Rattus norvegicus: one gene and its partner. The protein of the gene in region 1 purifies or fractionates together with the protein of each later gene. This does not show direct contact. Links are inferred from orthologs where the notes say so. Each region holds a gene or a part of one and is shown on either strand. Other genes may lie near its edges.

Region 1 (6,218 bases):
TTAGGAGGGGTGCGCTCCATCCTCCTGGAGGAGGGGGAGGCAGGTTAAAAGCTCAGAGAGTCACCTGCAGGGCATGGAGTGCAGCCCCGAGACGCTGTCGGGCCAGTGTATACTCTAGTGCTCTGGCGGCCACCAGGGTTTCCCGAAGGGCCCCCTCCAGGCGAGTGCGCCCCTGGACCAGCCGTTCAGCATCGAAGTGCAGGTCGGGGTTGCTCTTGGAAGCTGGCAGGAAGTCTTGGGCTGCATTGGCACGAGACACCTCTCCTAAAGCCGCTCTGAACCTCCGGGAAGAAAACCCTGATCCAAAGTAGGCAGCAAAGATATCATCGGCGAGGAGGGTCCGGCCCTGGCCAAGGGTGGTTAGGGAAAGAGACTCCAGAGGCCGCTTGGGTTCTACCACTCCCTGAGGTGCCTTAGCAACTGGCACTCAAGGCTGGGTAGGAATAGAGGGTGAAGGGTCCCACGAGGGAGCAGCAGATTTGGACTGGCTGACCTGGCACTGTGTAGCCCACGCTGGCCTTAAACCAACCACAGATCTCCTTAATCAAGTGCCGGGGTTACCCGTGTATGCCACCACATCCCCCTTGGTACAGACTTTTCCAAGACTGGGGGGGGGGGGGGAGAGACTCAGAATTTCAGGACCAGAATTGCAGAGGGAGGAGTGTGGAAATGAGCAGGTCAAAGGTGAGCCTCCTCTTGACAAGGGCCCTCTGAGAAACCCTGGGGAACTGTAAAACCTAAGGGTGAGAGAGGACACAGGGTTGCTCACCCTGTAGTCCTCTAGATGGAGGTGCGGTCGGCCTGGGGGTGGCTGTTCCAGAAAGAGCTCAAGGGTGACATTGAGTGCAGCCTCTTCAGTCAGGTCTTGGTGAGTGATGGAGCCAGGGGCAGCCAGAAGGCTCCAGATGTTGGGAAAGAAGGCAGATGTTGGGGGCAACAGCAGCTGGAGCAGCAGTACTGGGGGGCCCAGCTGGGACAGGGGGACCTCCACAGGGAGCATGGCTGAAACATGGACCTAGGGAACAGAAGCACCTCGCGGGGAAAGGAAGCCACCAATTCCAGGGCAGGTCTTGCTGTCTCCCCGGCACCTGGTGCCCACTTCCTGCCTTGCTTCAGGTGCCCCATCTAAACCAGCCTGGCTCCCCACCCTGAACCTGCAACCCACACAATCCACGGGCCTGTGAGGCCAACAGAGCGCACACCTGCCCTCAGAGCACAGGAGGATCCTCAAGGTTCTTCTCCTACACCAGGCTGAGCCCCGGCCCTGCCCCACGGATAGGAAGTCTCCTCAGGCCTCTCCTACCTGGTTGCTGGGTCTCCTGGGCAGTGCTGGCCCGGGTGTGGCGTCACAGGGCACTTAGGTCAGAGCTATAATTAACTGGGCCTCAGTAGCATGAGAGGGAGGCTCTTAGCAAGGGGTTGAGGACAGGCAGCCCCTGGCCCTCTTCCATTCATGCCAACCCAGGGCCACACGATGTAGCGAAAGCCAGGGCGGGGCCAGGGCGGGCTCTGTAGCCACAGCGCAGTGCAGTGAGGTGAGCGGGGAGGAAGGGAGCTGGCGGCAGAACAGCATGACTCAGGCCTGGCACCATGCCAGAGACAGACCCAGACAGACGCATCCCTCTGCCCACCAGGACCCAGGGCCTGGCTGGAGCTGACACACTCCTGCTGCTCCCAGGAACTCCCAGGCCAGGCTCTGCATGCCCTTGCCCTGCCCACACCACACAGACAAGAGAAAATGTTGGCAAAATATTTTATTGCTGCCATCCCTGTTTGGTGGAACACTGGGGGTTGGAACTGGGGGTGTCACAGCATCTTCTGAAACAGGGCGATGGCCTCATCCACCTTCCTGAGCTCCGCCTCTGTCTGTTGTAACTGGGGGTGCAAAAGGGGTTATGGTGATGACCCATGCCCAAGGAGACCAAACACCAGAGAGTAGAGGAGCCCAGGTTGGTGAGATGGGTGAGGACCGGGAAGTCAGGGTAGTGAGGCAGCACACCCCACGCCTCCGTCAAGACCCTCCTCTGAAGTGCTCCTTTTCCTGAGTGCCCAGTGACAAAGGCCTTGGAGCGCACACACAATCCTGAGGGACCCCACCTATGAGGAGCCCAAGGCTGCCTGGCCACACGCTACCCTCACTCAGAGGGCCTGGGAACGAACACTCAGTGTCGCCAGTGCTTCCAAGCACTGGGCCTCCTTGGCAGACCCTAGGGGGGCAAGGGCCTTCGGGAACCCCACGCCAGGAGACAAACTGACTTTCTGGGTGAGCCTAAGCGGGAGCAGGCACTATACTTAGGGTCCCACTGCCACAGGGGCTCCAGGGTCCTAGCAGCTGGGCTTGCTGAGACCAGGGCACGACAGACGCAGCTGATGCTGGGACAACCCCACCACACACCTTCACTTCGTCGGCCTCCTGGACCTCAAGGGGCACCTTTGCTGAGTAGCCAGAGGCAGCACGGCGCTCCTGCAGCCGCTGAGCCTGTCGCTGTGCCTCACTCCGCTTGGCCTGCAGCTTGCCCAGCTCCCGGGCTGGGTCCACGAGCCCCTGCAGCTGCAGGTGGATGGAGCAGCGGTCTGAGGCCACAGCCACAGCGCAGCCCTGTGGTGCGGGAGCACCCAGGGCCAGGACGGCCACCACACCCGCACTGGCCAGAGTCTGCACGTAGGCCGACACTGCCGAGGCCAAGGCACCCGTAGCCTCATCAGCTACTTCCAAGAAACCTGCAGAGTGAGGAGGGAGAAAAGTGAAGCCTGGATACAGCCAGACCCTGGGTTCCCTAAGGGGCCTTGGAGGACAGGGGGACAAGATAGGTGGACGGACACGGGGCCTGAGGCTTACAGTCGGGCCTGGTCCGGGTCAGGTTGTAGTCTGCACGCAGGGAGCGCACAGCTCTAGTGATGCTCAGCGCTAGCTCAAGAGCAGCTTCGGCTTCAGGGTCCTTCCAGGAGCACTGTGAGGCAGAGTGGGGAGCACTGTGAGGTAGAGTGGGGAGCACTGTGGGGCAGAGTGGAGAGCACTGCGGGGCAGAGTGGAGAGCACTGCGAGGCAGAGTGGAGAGCACTGTGGGGCAGAGTGGGGAGCACTGTGAGGCAGAGTGGGGAGCACTGTGAGGCAGAGTGGGGAGCACTGCGAGGCAGAGTGGGGAGGGGGAGCACTTGAGGCAGAGTGGGGAGTACTGAGGCAGAGTGGGGGAGGGGGAAGCACTGTGAGGCAGAGTGGGGAGCACTGTGAGGCAGAGTGGGGAGCACTGTGAGGCAGAGTGGGGAGCACTGTGAGGCAGAGTGGGGAGCACTGTGAGGCAGAGTGGGGAGCGCTATGAGGCAGAGTGGGGAGGGGGAGCACTGCGAGGCAGAGTGGGGGAAAGGGAGGGCAGCCGTGCCCTCTAGGCCACACCTCATACCTCTGAGGGCTCTGGGTAGGGGGTGACACAGAGGCTAGCAGGAGCGTTTGGTGTCCGCCGAGGCAGCCTCTGGAATAGCTCCTCTGTGACAAAGGGCATGAAGGGTGAGAGCAGCCGCAGGCCGACATCCAGGCAGGTGTAGAGGGTTTGCCGAGCACAGTCTGCTGCTACCTGGTCCACTCCGTTCAGAACGGGTTTTAGGCACTCCTAGAGACGGGGAGGCAGAAGGCTCAGGGCCAGGTTCCACCTGGAGCCCCCTCCCCATGAGAACTGAAAACAAAAGGTGAACTCAAGTCTCAGGGCGAGCCTGAGGTCAGAGCTGCACAGGCCTAGGCCCCGTCCCAGTGCTCACCAAGTAGACATCACAGAGCTCATAGAGCCAAAAGCTGTACTGGGCAGTGGTGACGGCTGGGAAATCATAAGCCTGGAAGCCTTCATTGCTGAGCCTCACGGCCTCCGCCAGCCGGCTGCGGATCCAGCGGTCCACCAGGCTCTCGTGCCCTTCCGGCTGCAGGGAAGAGCAATGTCAGCCAGCACACTACCAGGGCAGGGAGCCACCCGGCTATCCCCAGACTGCAAGGGGGGCGGGGCTGCAGCGGCTTCAGTCTTGGCGCACTAGGACCACGCCTGACGCTGTGTGGGCATGCGTGCTGTCATAGATGGCCGCCAACCAGAACTTCACCTTGGAGGTTGGTGAGGGTACAAAGCCCTTCCCAAGGCCGCGCAAAGCAAACTTGGTGGCATTCCAGAGTTTGTTGCAGAAGTGACGGTACCCCAGGATCCTGTTCACATCCAGGTTAATGTCTCGACCTAGGGGAGGGATGAATCTGACTCCACCCCATTCTCTCTCTCAGAGAGGTCCTCTGCAGGCCCAAGGTGGAGGAGCACAGGTTTCAAGGAAGAAAACAGGCAACTGGGGGAGGATGGGAGACCATACCTTGGGATGTGTAGGCACAGAGTCCAAAGCGTAGGGCATCAGTGCCACACTCGGGAATCCCTGCTGGAAAGTCGGCCCTCTACAGAGGACACAGAGGGAATAGGGGGGTCAGGTTGCCCACCCGCTGCAGCCCACCCCACACCTGCCCACCCGCTGCAGCCCACTCCACATCTGCCCACCCGCTGCTGCCCACCCGCTGCAGCCCACCCCACACCTGCCCACCCGCTGCAGCCCACCCCACACCTGCCCACCCGCTGCAGCCCACCCCACACCTGTCCTTCTTTGGCTTTCTCCACCTCACTGGGATCCAGGTTGCTGTTCAGTAGTTGGTCATGGAGGCCCTAAGGAGGAGATGGGAGGCATCAGGTTGTTTCAGCCATAGCTGCAAAGTTGTTCCTAACTGACCCACTGAGTGCCCTACCTGCAAGGAAACTCCATGGATGACATCCAGGGGGTCGATGACATTGCCGAGAGACTTGCTCATCTTCCGGCCATGAGCGTCCCGCACGATTGCATGGAGGTAGACCTGGGGGCACACAGTGTGACATTGAGGCCACGATCCTCCCAGTCTTGATGGCTTCCCCAGTCCCCCTACTGGGGATCATGGGTCCCTAGTGGCCCTACTAGCTCCAAGTCTCAGTGTAGCTGACAAGTGCCTGTCCACTGGGAAGAGGAAGCCCTGGGCCAGACCCACCACAGCTAATCTTAACCAACAGCTACCCGAGAAGGCAGGGGAGGAGATACGGGGGCGGGGCTTAGCATCTTCACACCTCTCTGAAGGGCAGCTTCTCAGTGAGCTTCAGGCCAAGCATGACCATTCGCGCCACCCAGAAGAAGAGGATATCATGGCCCGTCTCCAGCAGGGTCCCAGGGTAGAACACACTGAGATCTTCTGACTGGGGGAAGCCGAGAGCATGCAATGCAGGTAAGCCCAGCATTCCCTTCAAGGCCCCTCCCTCTTCACGTTAGAACATACCTGATTGGGCCAGCCAAAGATGGAGAAGGGAAAGAGACCAGACGAGAACCAGGTGTCTAACACATCCTCATCTGGAAGGAACAAAGGTCAGAGATTAGCAGGATGGTAATAAAAGGACAGAATCCCAACTGTCCCCCCGTCCATGCCCATCCCTGCCTTGCTGAAGGCTGATCTTGTCAGGGGACACTCCAAATTCCCGTGCTGCCTTCTCCCGGGCCTCTGCTTCAGTGCGTCCGCTTACCCAGTACCGCCCATCAGGGTCCTAACAGAGAGGGTTATCAAAAAGGCTTCCTTTACTTCGCCCAGACCCCTCTGCCAACCAAGGGCCCAACAAACCCCAGCAGGCAACATCTAGCTAGAGCCTCCTCACCTCCCCAGGGGGTACCGCTGGGTCATGGACAGTGATGAAGTAGGCAGGGATTCGGTGGCCCCACCACAGCTGCCGAGAGATGCACCAGTCTCTGCGAACAGCAAGGGGTCAGTCAGGGTGCTCAGCCTGTGTCTCTCAGCTGCTGTGCTGCCCACCCAGGCCATACACACCGGATGTTGTCCATCCAAGAATGCCACGTCCGCTGATGGGCCTCAGGCAGTATACGGAGGTCTCCCCGGGTCACGGCAGCACTGGCGGCCTGAGCCATCTCCCCACAGCGCACGTACCACTGTGGCCTTAGCAGAGGCTCCACCACATCCTTGGAGCGGCTGCAGCAGGAAGGTCATAGAGAGGAGGCCATGTGCCAAGCTCCCAGAGGAACCCCACCCTTCCCTTCCCCATGTGCACCGTCCCCGGTCTCACTTGCATAGTGGCACTACCATGGGGTTGTCCTTGATGCCGCGGAACAGGCCCTGCTCCTTCAGGGCCGCCAGCACAGCCTTCCTGGCCTCAAACCTGGGCAGGCCCTGGATG
Region 2 (7,929 bases), on another chromosome or scaffold:
TCTTAAGTGCTGAAATTAAAAGCATGTACTACCACTTCAGATAAAACAGAATCCTAAACATTAAAGTCTGTAGTTATTATAGATGATATATAATTAAATATTTCATTAGCTTATAATTTAATTTATTTAATTAATTCTTTAAAAATGGAAATCTACAGTTTACAAACTGAATTTGCAGATACCGAGTCTGTTATCTACTAGGTATTGGTTCTTTACCTATAGAGCAAATCTACACTGTTTCTTAGGGTATTATTACTAGGTCAATAATAAAAACAAAGAAAAAAATTGCAGTAAAAACAGCAAGGCAATCAGTAATGGCTATTAACAATCAGTTGTACAGCGATCTTTGTTTGTGGCCCTTTTTCTTATTAAAAACACACCATGTATATATTTTATTATTCTACTTACTAGAGTTGGACAGAGCAGGTAGCTTTAATGCAGGACCACTTCCTTTAGGCTGCACTGGACTATATCCGTAGTACAAACAACAAACAAACCCACAGTACTAAACTGAAGGTGAATCATCAATATTGTTAGCTACTGGACTGTAAGTTCCTTGACAAAAAATTTGGCTATTTCTCTTTTCTGAAGACTAGCAAGTCCCCAAGTAGTTTTGCCACCAAATTCCAGAATGAGCAGTTATCTATCTCTGTTTTAAATGGTACTGATGAGGCTACGCACAGCAGTCTATGCCTGTGGTTGCAGCACTGGGGAGCCTAAAGCATGAGAATCAGGAGTCTGAGGCCAGTCTGAGCTATATACATGGGACCTCATCCCACAAAAACAGCCTGCACTGCATAAAGAGTCTGAGGATAACCTGGCTTATGCACTGTACAGGTTGTTTTGCTGTGGTTTTTTTACTTTGGTGGGTTTTGTTTTTTTTTTTTTTTAGATATATCTCATGTACCTCAGACTGGCCTCAAACTTGCTATGAAGTCAAGGATCAACTTGGACTCCTAAACTTCAGGCTTCCACTTCCCAAGCAAGGGGCAGAATTAGCAACATGTACCACCATGTTCAGCTTCGTATATGTTTTATTGTTGTTGTTGACATTCATTTACTTACTGGATGAAGGTTACCATATACACACAAGGGGGTGGGGCAGGCGCATGAGGAAGTCAAAGGCAACTTTTGAAAGTCAGTTCTCTCTTTCCATCAATGTGGGTCCTGGAGACCTAACTCATGGATGCCAGGCTTAGCAAGCATCGTTACCAACTAAGCTATCTCACCAGCATGCATTTCAGAATATGCATTTCAGACATGGTATCTATCAAATAGGAACAGTAGAGTCCTTACCTAAGCATGCACAAACTCCTCCATTCAATCCTGTCCCAGCCTCCCCCGTCTAGGATTACAGATAAGCACCACCACACCCTGGCATATCTCTACTATCTTGGCTGTAACTAATAAAAATAAAGGGCGTTGATGTTCTGGCTTAGAATAATAGATTCAAAGATGCAAAACTCAGTGGGGGCTGGGGAGGAGATTCCCAGAAATTTTTGTTTCATCTTAAGACATGAATCTTGAGAACACTGCAGCTTCCTGATTTGCAGTGGGACTCAGAGCTAACTTTTTAAGATTCACTTTTAATTTATGTGTGCATGTGCTTGTCTCTGTGTGGTTATGTGCATTTATAAGTGCCGGTGCTCACAGTCCAAAAGAGTGGCAAATTCCCTGTAACAAGGCAGTTGTCCCCCTTCTGACGGAGACAGTGGGAACCGAACTCGGATCTACTCTACAAGGCACTCTTAACCACTTGGCTATCTCTCCAACTCCGACTGAGCTTTTAGTTTTTGTCATTCTCCCCGTCAGTGGAATGAATAAAATACTACCCAACATCATCAATGAACTGGACAAAATAAACAGTAGTGTGGGCAGTTTCAAGATAGCAACTAAAGAGACGCCTAATGTTTAAGTCTTTCCTGACACTGGGAAATGACCCGGTCTCCTCCAGACAGGGCCATCTCCTGTCTTCCCCTGCAGAGAGAAAGTAGCTAGCAAGCCGGAACTCCCAAAGGTTTCCTGATCATCTTGCTTATGCTCCATCAGACCAGAAACTATGGCTAGTAACCTTCACCTGCCGGTTCTCCGGGGTTCTGGAGGTGGCGGGGCAGGAGGTGGTGCCCAGTCAAGGACAAGAGGAGAATGACTTGTTTGACCTAAAGAACACAGTCCTGCTAAGAAAGAAAACACCACTCGAAGCACTTCAACTTTCTCTCTTAAACGCGTCCTCACCTTTCCTCTAGAGCTCACCAAGTTGTCCCGCTGATTTGTCCGGATCCCCCTGACCCCTCAAAACCCAGCCGCTAAGTCAATATGGCGGCCACGGCTAACTCCGTCAGCCTGACCTGGCGGACGGAAAGCCAGGAGGGACAACAAAGCCAGATTCGACAATCTCCCCTCTTTGGACCTGTTCGGCAATTTCCGTCAGCACGAGAGGGAGCCGGGAGAAAGCGGAGAAGACAACTTGGACCTGCAGTTCCGCCGGAAGTAGCCGAGGCCTTGAGGCCGAATGCTTTCGTTCAACTCCGGCTCCTCAAGGGGCGTTTCCTTTAGTTTTAGAATCCTTGGAGGTAGGCGTTTTAAAATGCATCTTTTATTAATTTCCTTCCAAACACAAGGAAAAGCCCGCGGACGACCTGTGGGTCGTCTAATTCACAAGACGCAGTTTTACGTGAAGGAACGAGACTAGTAACGTACTTTGACCTTTAACCTCTAGCCGGTGCAGTGGAGGGAAACGCCTCCGTCTCTATATAAGGACTTTTCCGGCCGGTCCCGGCCCTTTTTCTCCCTCAGCGCTGGCCGCGGGCTTCTAGCGCTCTTTTCCTCCGCTCCCGGTTACAGTCGACGCCATGGGTTTCGGAGACCTGAAAACCCCCGCCGGCCTCCAGGTGCTCAACGATTACCTGGCGGACAAGAGCTACATTGAGGGGTGAGCCGGGAGCCCCGGGGGCCACGTGGCGCGGGCTCGGCGGGAGGGAAGCGGGTCGCCGGAAACTAGGGGAAGCCGAGTTAGGTCTCCCGAGTCTCGGATGCCACTGGAGCAGGACCTCCCTGGAGGGGCTGCCAGCGCAATAATTGAAATAATGCTTGCTCTCCGTGTAACTACGTTCAGCCGGTTCTTCCGCGTCCTCTGACTAGTTAATTTAAACCTGTGGCAAGCCCGAGGTAGCCTTTGAGTTCTCCCAAGTGGTAGAGAATTCTTGGCTTGTACAGATTGAAACATATTTTGTGCACTTCCGATTAGAAGCAATTTAGGTTAGCCCTGTAATAGTTCCCACTAGTAGTTAGTTTGGCGGGTATGGGCTGTGTCATTTACCAGTTAGGTGTTTGTGTCTTTTCTTTTAAAGGTGCGTGTACTTGTTTTTGTGTTACCTGCAGGTACGTGCCATCACAAGCCGATGTGGCAGTATTTGAAGCAATCTCTGGTCCACCACCCGCTGACCTGTGTCATGCTCTGCGTTGGTATAATCATATCAAATCTTACGAAAAAGAAAAGGCCAGGTAAAAGTATCATTGTGCTACCTGGATTTTCGCATGGCAAAGTAGGACCGGGGTTAAAGTTGCTTTAGCATTGTTGACCTAGTGTAAACCAAATTTCTTTGTGACCTTAAATTAAGGCCAACAGACTGAAGTTCTCCATTTTCTCACAGAACAGGTAGAACATGGACAGCTGCAGTTTACAATTTTCCCACACCTCATTAATGTGTTTTGACCTGGGGGAGGGGCACCACTGGGTTGTGAGGGTAGCTGATTTAATTCCTGGCCATTCTTCTAAAACTAAAGAATGGAAGTGGGGATATATAATGAATCTCATTCAGATGTTCATTTTGGAAGAGTAAACCATTGAGTACTGAATACTATGTCTCCTTTAAAGTCAGGTCATTTACCTGGGGTTGTGCTAAGGTTAAGTAACCAGAAGAGATTGTGAGTTACTGGAAAGGAAGATTGTGTGTTTTGCCCAGAAAGAGCTTTGACACCAACCTAATGTTGTAGAATGCTTGTTTTTCAAGCTTGCCGGGAGTGAAGAAATCTTTGGGCAAGTATGGCCCTGTCAGTGTGGCAGATACCACAGGAAGTGGAGCAGCAGATGCTAAAGACGATGATGACATTGATCTCTTCGGATCTGATGATGAGGAGGTATGCCTTTCTCTTTATACAAGTATATTGATAAGGCAGACAGTCTTTACAGCATGACTAACTGGTGCTGTAGCCACTGCCCGGACATGGATCCTGCCTTGGCTTTATTGTCTGCCTTTAAAAATTTATCACTGGGTACATGATGAATAAAATCGAATCACCATCTTTCGGCTGAGCTCCTGATGGATTTGCTTTTTTCTGATGTCCAGTCATTTTTGTGATGACCTTGTCACTACATTTAAGCAGAAGATAACCAACTTTGTGAAATGTTTTTTTCTCTGTACAGGAAAGTGAAGACGCAAAGAGGCTACGAGAAGAACGCCTTGCTCAGTATGAGTCAAAGAAAGCTAAAAGTGGGTAACTTACGGTTTATCTTCATTGTTAGTAATGTGAATGCCTTTGTCTAGTGCTTGGCCTTAAAGTGGGTTTTCCCCCAGTTAAATTGAATGGGTCAATATTTTATTTACATCTTCCACAGCTACTGGTCTGCAGCTGTCTTTATGGTAGCAGTTGTAGCATTCCTCTGTGGGAAAGAAACTGTTACACAATTTAATGCCTCTTTCTTAGCCACATAGAAAGAGGAATATGCGTGACAGACACAAGGCGAGTTGTGTACGTTTTTGGCAAGAAGGTGGCCTGTTTCAAAACAAACAGATTTGACTTAATGGTGAAAATGTTGAGTATTTAGGTGTCGTTCATTTTTTCACCTTTTTTAGAGCCTGCAGTTGTTGCGAAGTCTTCCATCTTGTTAGATGTGAAGCCTTGGGACGATGAGACAGACATGACGAAACTTGAGGAGTGTGTCCGAAGCATTCAAGCGGACGGCTTGGTGTGGGGCTCCTGTAAGTGATGCTTGTGTTTGGGGGTTGGAATTTGGGCATCTTCAGTTTTCCTATCACAAAGAGTTTCCTAACTTTTTTACCCCTTGATCTTTTTTAGCTAAATTGGTTCCAGTGGGATACGGAATTAAAAAGCTTCAAATACAGTGTGTAGTTGAAGATGATAAGGTTGGAACAGATATGCTGGAAGAGCAGATTACTGCTTTTGAGGACTATGTACAGTCCATGGATGTGGCTGCTTTTAACAAAATCTAAATCATCCTTAAGTCTGTGCACTTAAATAAAAGCTTGAAAGATAACCCTTGACTCTTCATTTGCTGTGAGAAATGATATACTTTGTTTTGAAGAAAAGGTGAAGTGGTGGGGACTTGGGCTAGAAAGAGAAATTTTGCTCAGCATTTCAAACCACTTGGGCCATGGTTATCCAGACCAACATGAAGTTGCCTTTTAGCCAACACTATCGTGTCATAGATATAACTAAAAAGAAGATAAAAAATGTGTTATTAAAAATTTAGCGGGGTTGGGGATTTAGCTCAGTGGTAGCTCAGTGGGCCTTAGCAAGCTCAAGGCCCTGGGTTCGGTCCTTAGCTCCGGGGGAAAAAAAATTAGCAATTAATTGTCACCCGATGTGTTCAATACCTTTTTGAAAAGCAGAATGAATCTTGGGCCACTAAGCTGACTCCGAGGGTGCTTACCATTTGGTTCAATCCCTAAAGATAGCGTTATGTCCTGAGAGGAACATTGTATAGGTTTATAAGGTGGTCAAGTGTGGAGGTCTTTCCATTGAATCTGGAAATCTGAACCTAGAGCTGCAGGAAAGTGCTGGGATAAGCAGTGTGCTAAAAGCTACTTGTTGGAAACATTTGTGGGAGATCATACTGCTCAAGAAGTACAGCATGGGGGGCTGGAGAGATGGCTCAGCGGTTATGAGCACTGACTGCTCTTCCAGAGGTCCTGAGTTCAAACCCCAGCAACCACATGGTGGCTCACAACCATCTGTAATGGGAGCCGATGCCCTCTTCTGACAGGCAGGTGTAGATAGACCACTCATATACATACATAAAACATCTTTAAAAAAAAAGTACATCACAGCATTTCAGCTTTGTGTTAAAAATTTGGTACATACAGTAACTAAATGTATTTACCATAATTTTTAAAGTTTGGGGTTTGTGTTCTGTGAGCCAGGTGGTGGTAGTGCACATTTTTAAACACAACACTCAGGAGGAAGAAAAATGCAGACTCGTGGGTTCAAGGCCAACCTGAGTTATAAAGTCCATGAGAGTTGTGTATACAAAGAAACATTGTCTTAAAAACAAAGTTTTCTGTATTTTATAGATAGGACTCTAGAAGAATAATTCAGTTACTTCAGTCAGACAGTACTCTTGCTCTCAGTCTGGTTTTATGTTGACTACCTTCAGTGAGGGAAGCTTCACGTTCATACATAGATTCAATAAAACATGTACTAAGGAGAATATACTTCAACAGACCCGTCCTAAAGTAGTAGAAATTTTTTCCAGGTTAGAATCATGAGGGCCAGCAGAGGGCAGTATTGTCAAAAGCCTGAAAGCAGAGAAAGGGTTAGAGCAGAACTGTTAGAGCCTGCTGCAGAGCATGTCAGAAGCATGAGAGCAGGCTGGGGGCCGTAGCAGAACCAAGAGAGCTGGCTGGGGCCCTGTCAGAGTCACGAGAGCCGGCAGAGGGCACCACTTGGTATTCTAGGGCTTCTGGAGAACAGACAAAGGTACATTTTATTCATCTTATTCTCGTGTCTCTGTAAACAAAAGAACAAGATAGAATTGTGCTGTCAGTGCATGCTCTCTGAAGAGCATCTATACCATCTGGAAACATGTTTATAGTAATCTACACACTTGTACTTAGCTAGAATTTTCCATAATCATGATGTTCTGGAGGACTAAGAATGAACACAAAATTGTAGACATATTTCATAAAGGGGCAAAGAGTCTGTCCCCTTCCTTTCGTTCTGAGCCAGCCTAGTCTTGCTTTGGCCAATTTGATATGGTGGAAACAATGCTGTGTGTATGACATTCATAACTTGTAAGAGGACTGTGGATGTGGCTCAATAGCAGAGCACTTGCGGCTTGCAGCTGGAAGTCTGGTGACCCCCGGAGAGGTCATGGGGCAATTACAAGAGGAAGGACAAGATCTACTGATTAACTAGCCCAAGTATTCCAAGATAAGGCCATTAGCATTATTACCTACCTGAAGCTCCAAGCATAAGAAGCAGGGTCAAATCACCCTGTCTTGTTTATATTCCAGAAACTCAGAATTGAGCTATACTAACAATAAATTGTTGTTTTAAGCAACTTACTAAATAAACAGTTAACAGGAATGGAAGTTTTAAATCCATAGCCAACTAATACTTTATAGTTTATGGAAGCTTGAGTCCAGCCTAGCCTACATAGTGAGACCTTACCCCAAACAAAAGGGTTGGCTTTTTTTTTGTTTGTTTGTTTGGTTTTTTTGTTTTTTTGTTTTTGACTGAAAAGGTGATGATGAGGGAGCTGGGGAGCTGGCTCACCTTAGCCAGAGTGCATTCAAGGACAACCTGAGTTCAACTCCTGGAACACACATTAGAGAAAGCACTGGCAATCTCGTTGAGGTGTAGCTAGGCAGATCTCTGGCACTTGCTGGCTAGCTATTTTAGCCTGGTTGGTGAGCTCTAGACAACTGAAAAACCCTGTCTCAAAAAAAAAGAGAGTGTCTCCATGAGAAAAATGATTTAGTTACAGTTTACATACATGTACATCTATAAATACATTAACATACACACAAAATGACTCAAAAGCAAACCAGAAAAAAAGTCAGCCTGATAGTTTTTCAACAGAGATGATTAATATGATGTGGTATACACTATAAAAATTATTTAATCTGATACATATATTGCGTACATTAATAGACGAAGGCTAAAAGAGTGGGGGAAACTTTTAGG

The links. Proteins that work in one complex are often made in the same cells at the same time.
Region 2: the proteins of Vars1 (region 1) and Eef1b2 fractionate together in Homo sapiens (co-fractionation; 3 studies listed by BioGRID, with this or other methods). This does not show direct contact. The link is inferred for Rattus norvegicus from reciprocal best matches to the Homo sapiens genes VARS1 and EEF1B2.

What each region holds. Positions count from the first base shown.
Region 1 is NC_086038.1:3,808,688-3,814,905, forward strand, and holds the end of Vars1 (valine--tRNA ligase), read right to left. Parts: intron 6,212-6,218; coding exon 6,108-6,211; intron 6,014-6,107; coding exon 5,855-6,013; intron 5,776-5,854; coding exon 5,685-5,775; intron 5,577-5,684; coding exon 5,471-5,576; intron 5,386-5,470; coding exon 5,315-5,385; intron 5,235-5,314; coding exon 5,109-5,234; intron 4,865-5,108; coding exon 4,760-4,864; intron 4,680-4,759; coding exon 4,611-4,679; intron 4,418-4,610; coding exon 4,339-4,417; intron 4,212-4,338; coding exon 4,084-4,211; intron 3,910-4,083; coding exon 3,754-3,909; intron 3,609-3,753; coding exon 3,402-3,608; intron 2,952-3,401; coding exon 2,840-2,951; intron 2,722-2,839; coding exon 2,396-2,721; intron 1,876-2,395; coding exon 1,807-1,875; 3' UTR 1,742-1,806; downstream 1-1,741. Other genes in the region: Vwa7 (von Willebrand factor A domain-containing protein 7), read right to left, coding at 65-346, 770-1,000. UniProt on the Homo sapiens protein: Catalyzes the attachment of valine to tRNA(Val).
Region 2 is NC_086027.1:72,071,314-72,079,242, forward strand, and holds Eef1b2 (elongation factor 1-beta), read left to right. Parts: upstream 1-2,777; 5' UTR 2,778-2,852; coding exon 2,853-2,932; intron 2,933-3,381; coding exon 3,382-3,504; intron 3,505-4,013; coding exon 4,014-4,140; intron 4,141-4,271; exon of another isoform or gene 4,272-4,349; intron 4,350-4,426; coding exon 4,427-4,493; intron 4,494-4,610; exon of another isoform or gene 4,611-4,742; intron 4,743-4,856; coding exon 4,857-4,982; intron 4,983-5,079; coding exon 5,080-5,234; 3' UTR 5,235-5,278; downstream 5,279-7,929. UniProt on the Homo sapiens protein: Catalytic subunit of the guanine nucleotide exchange factor (GEF) (eEF1B subcomplex) of the eukaryotic elongation factor 1 complex (eEF1).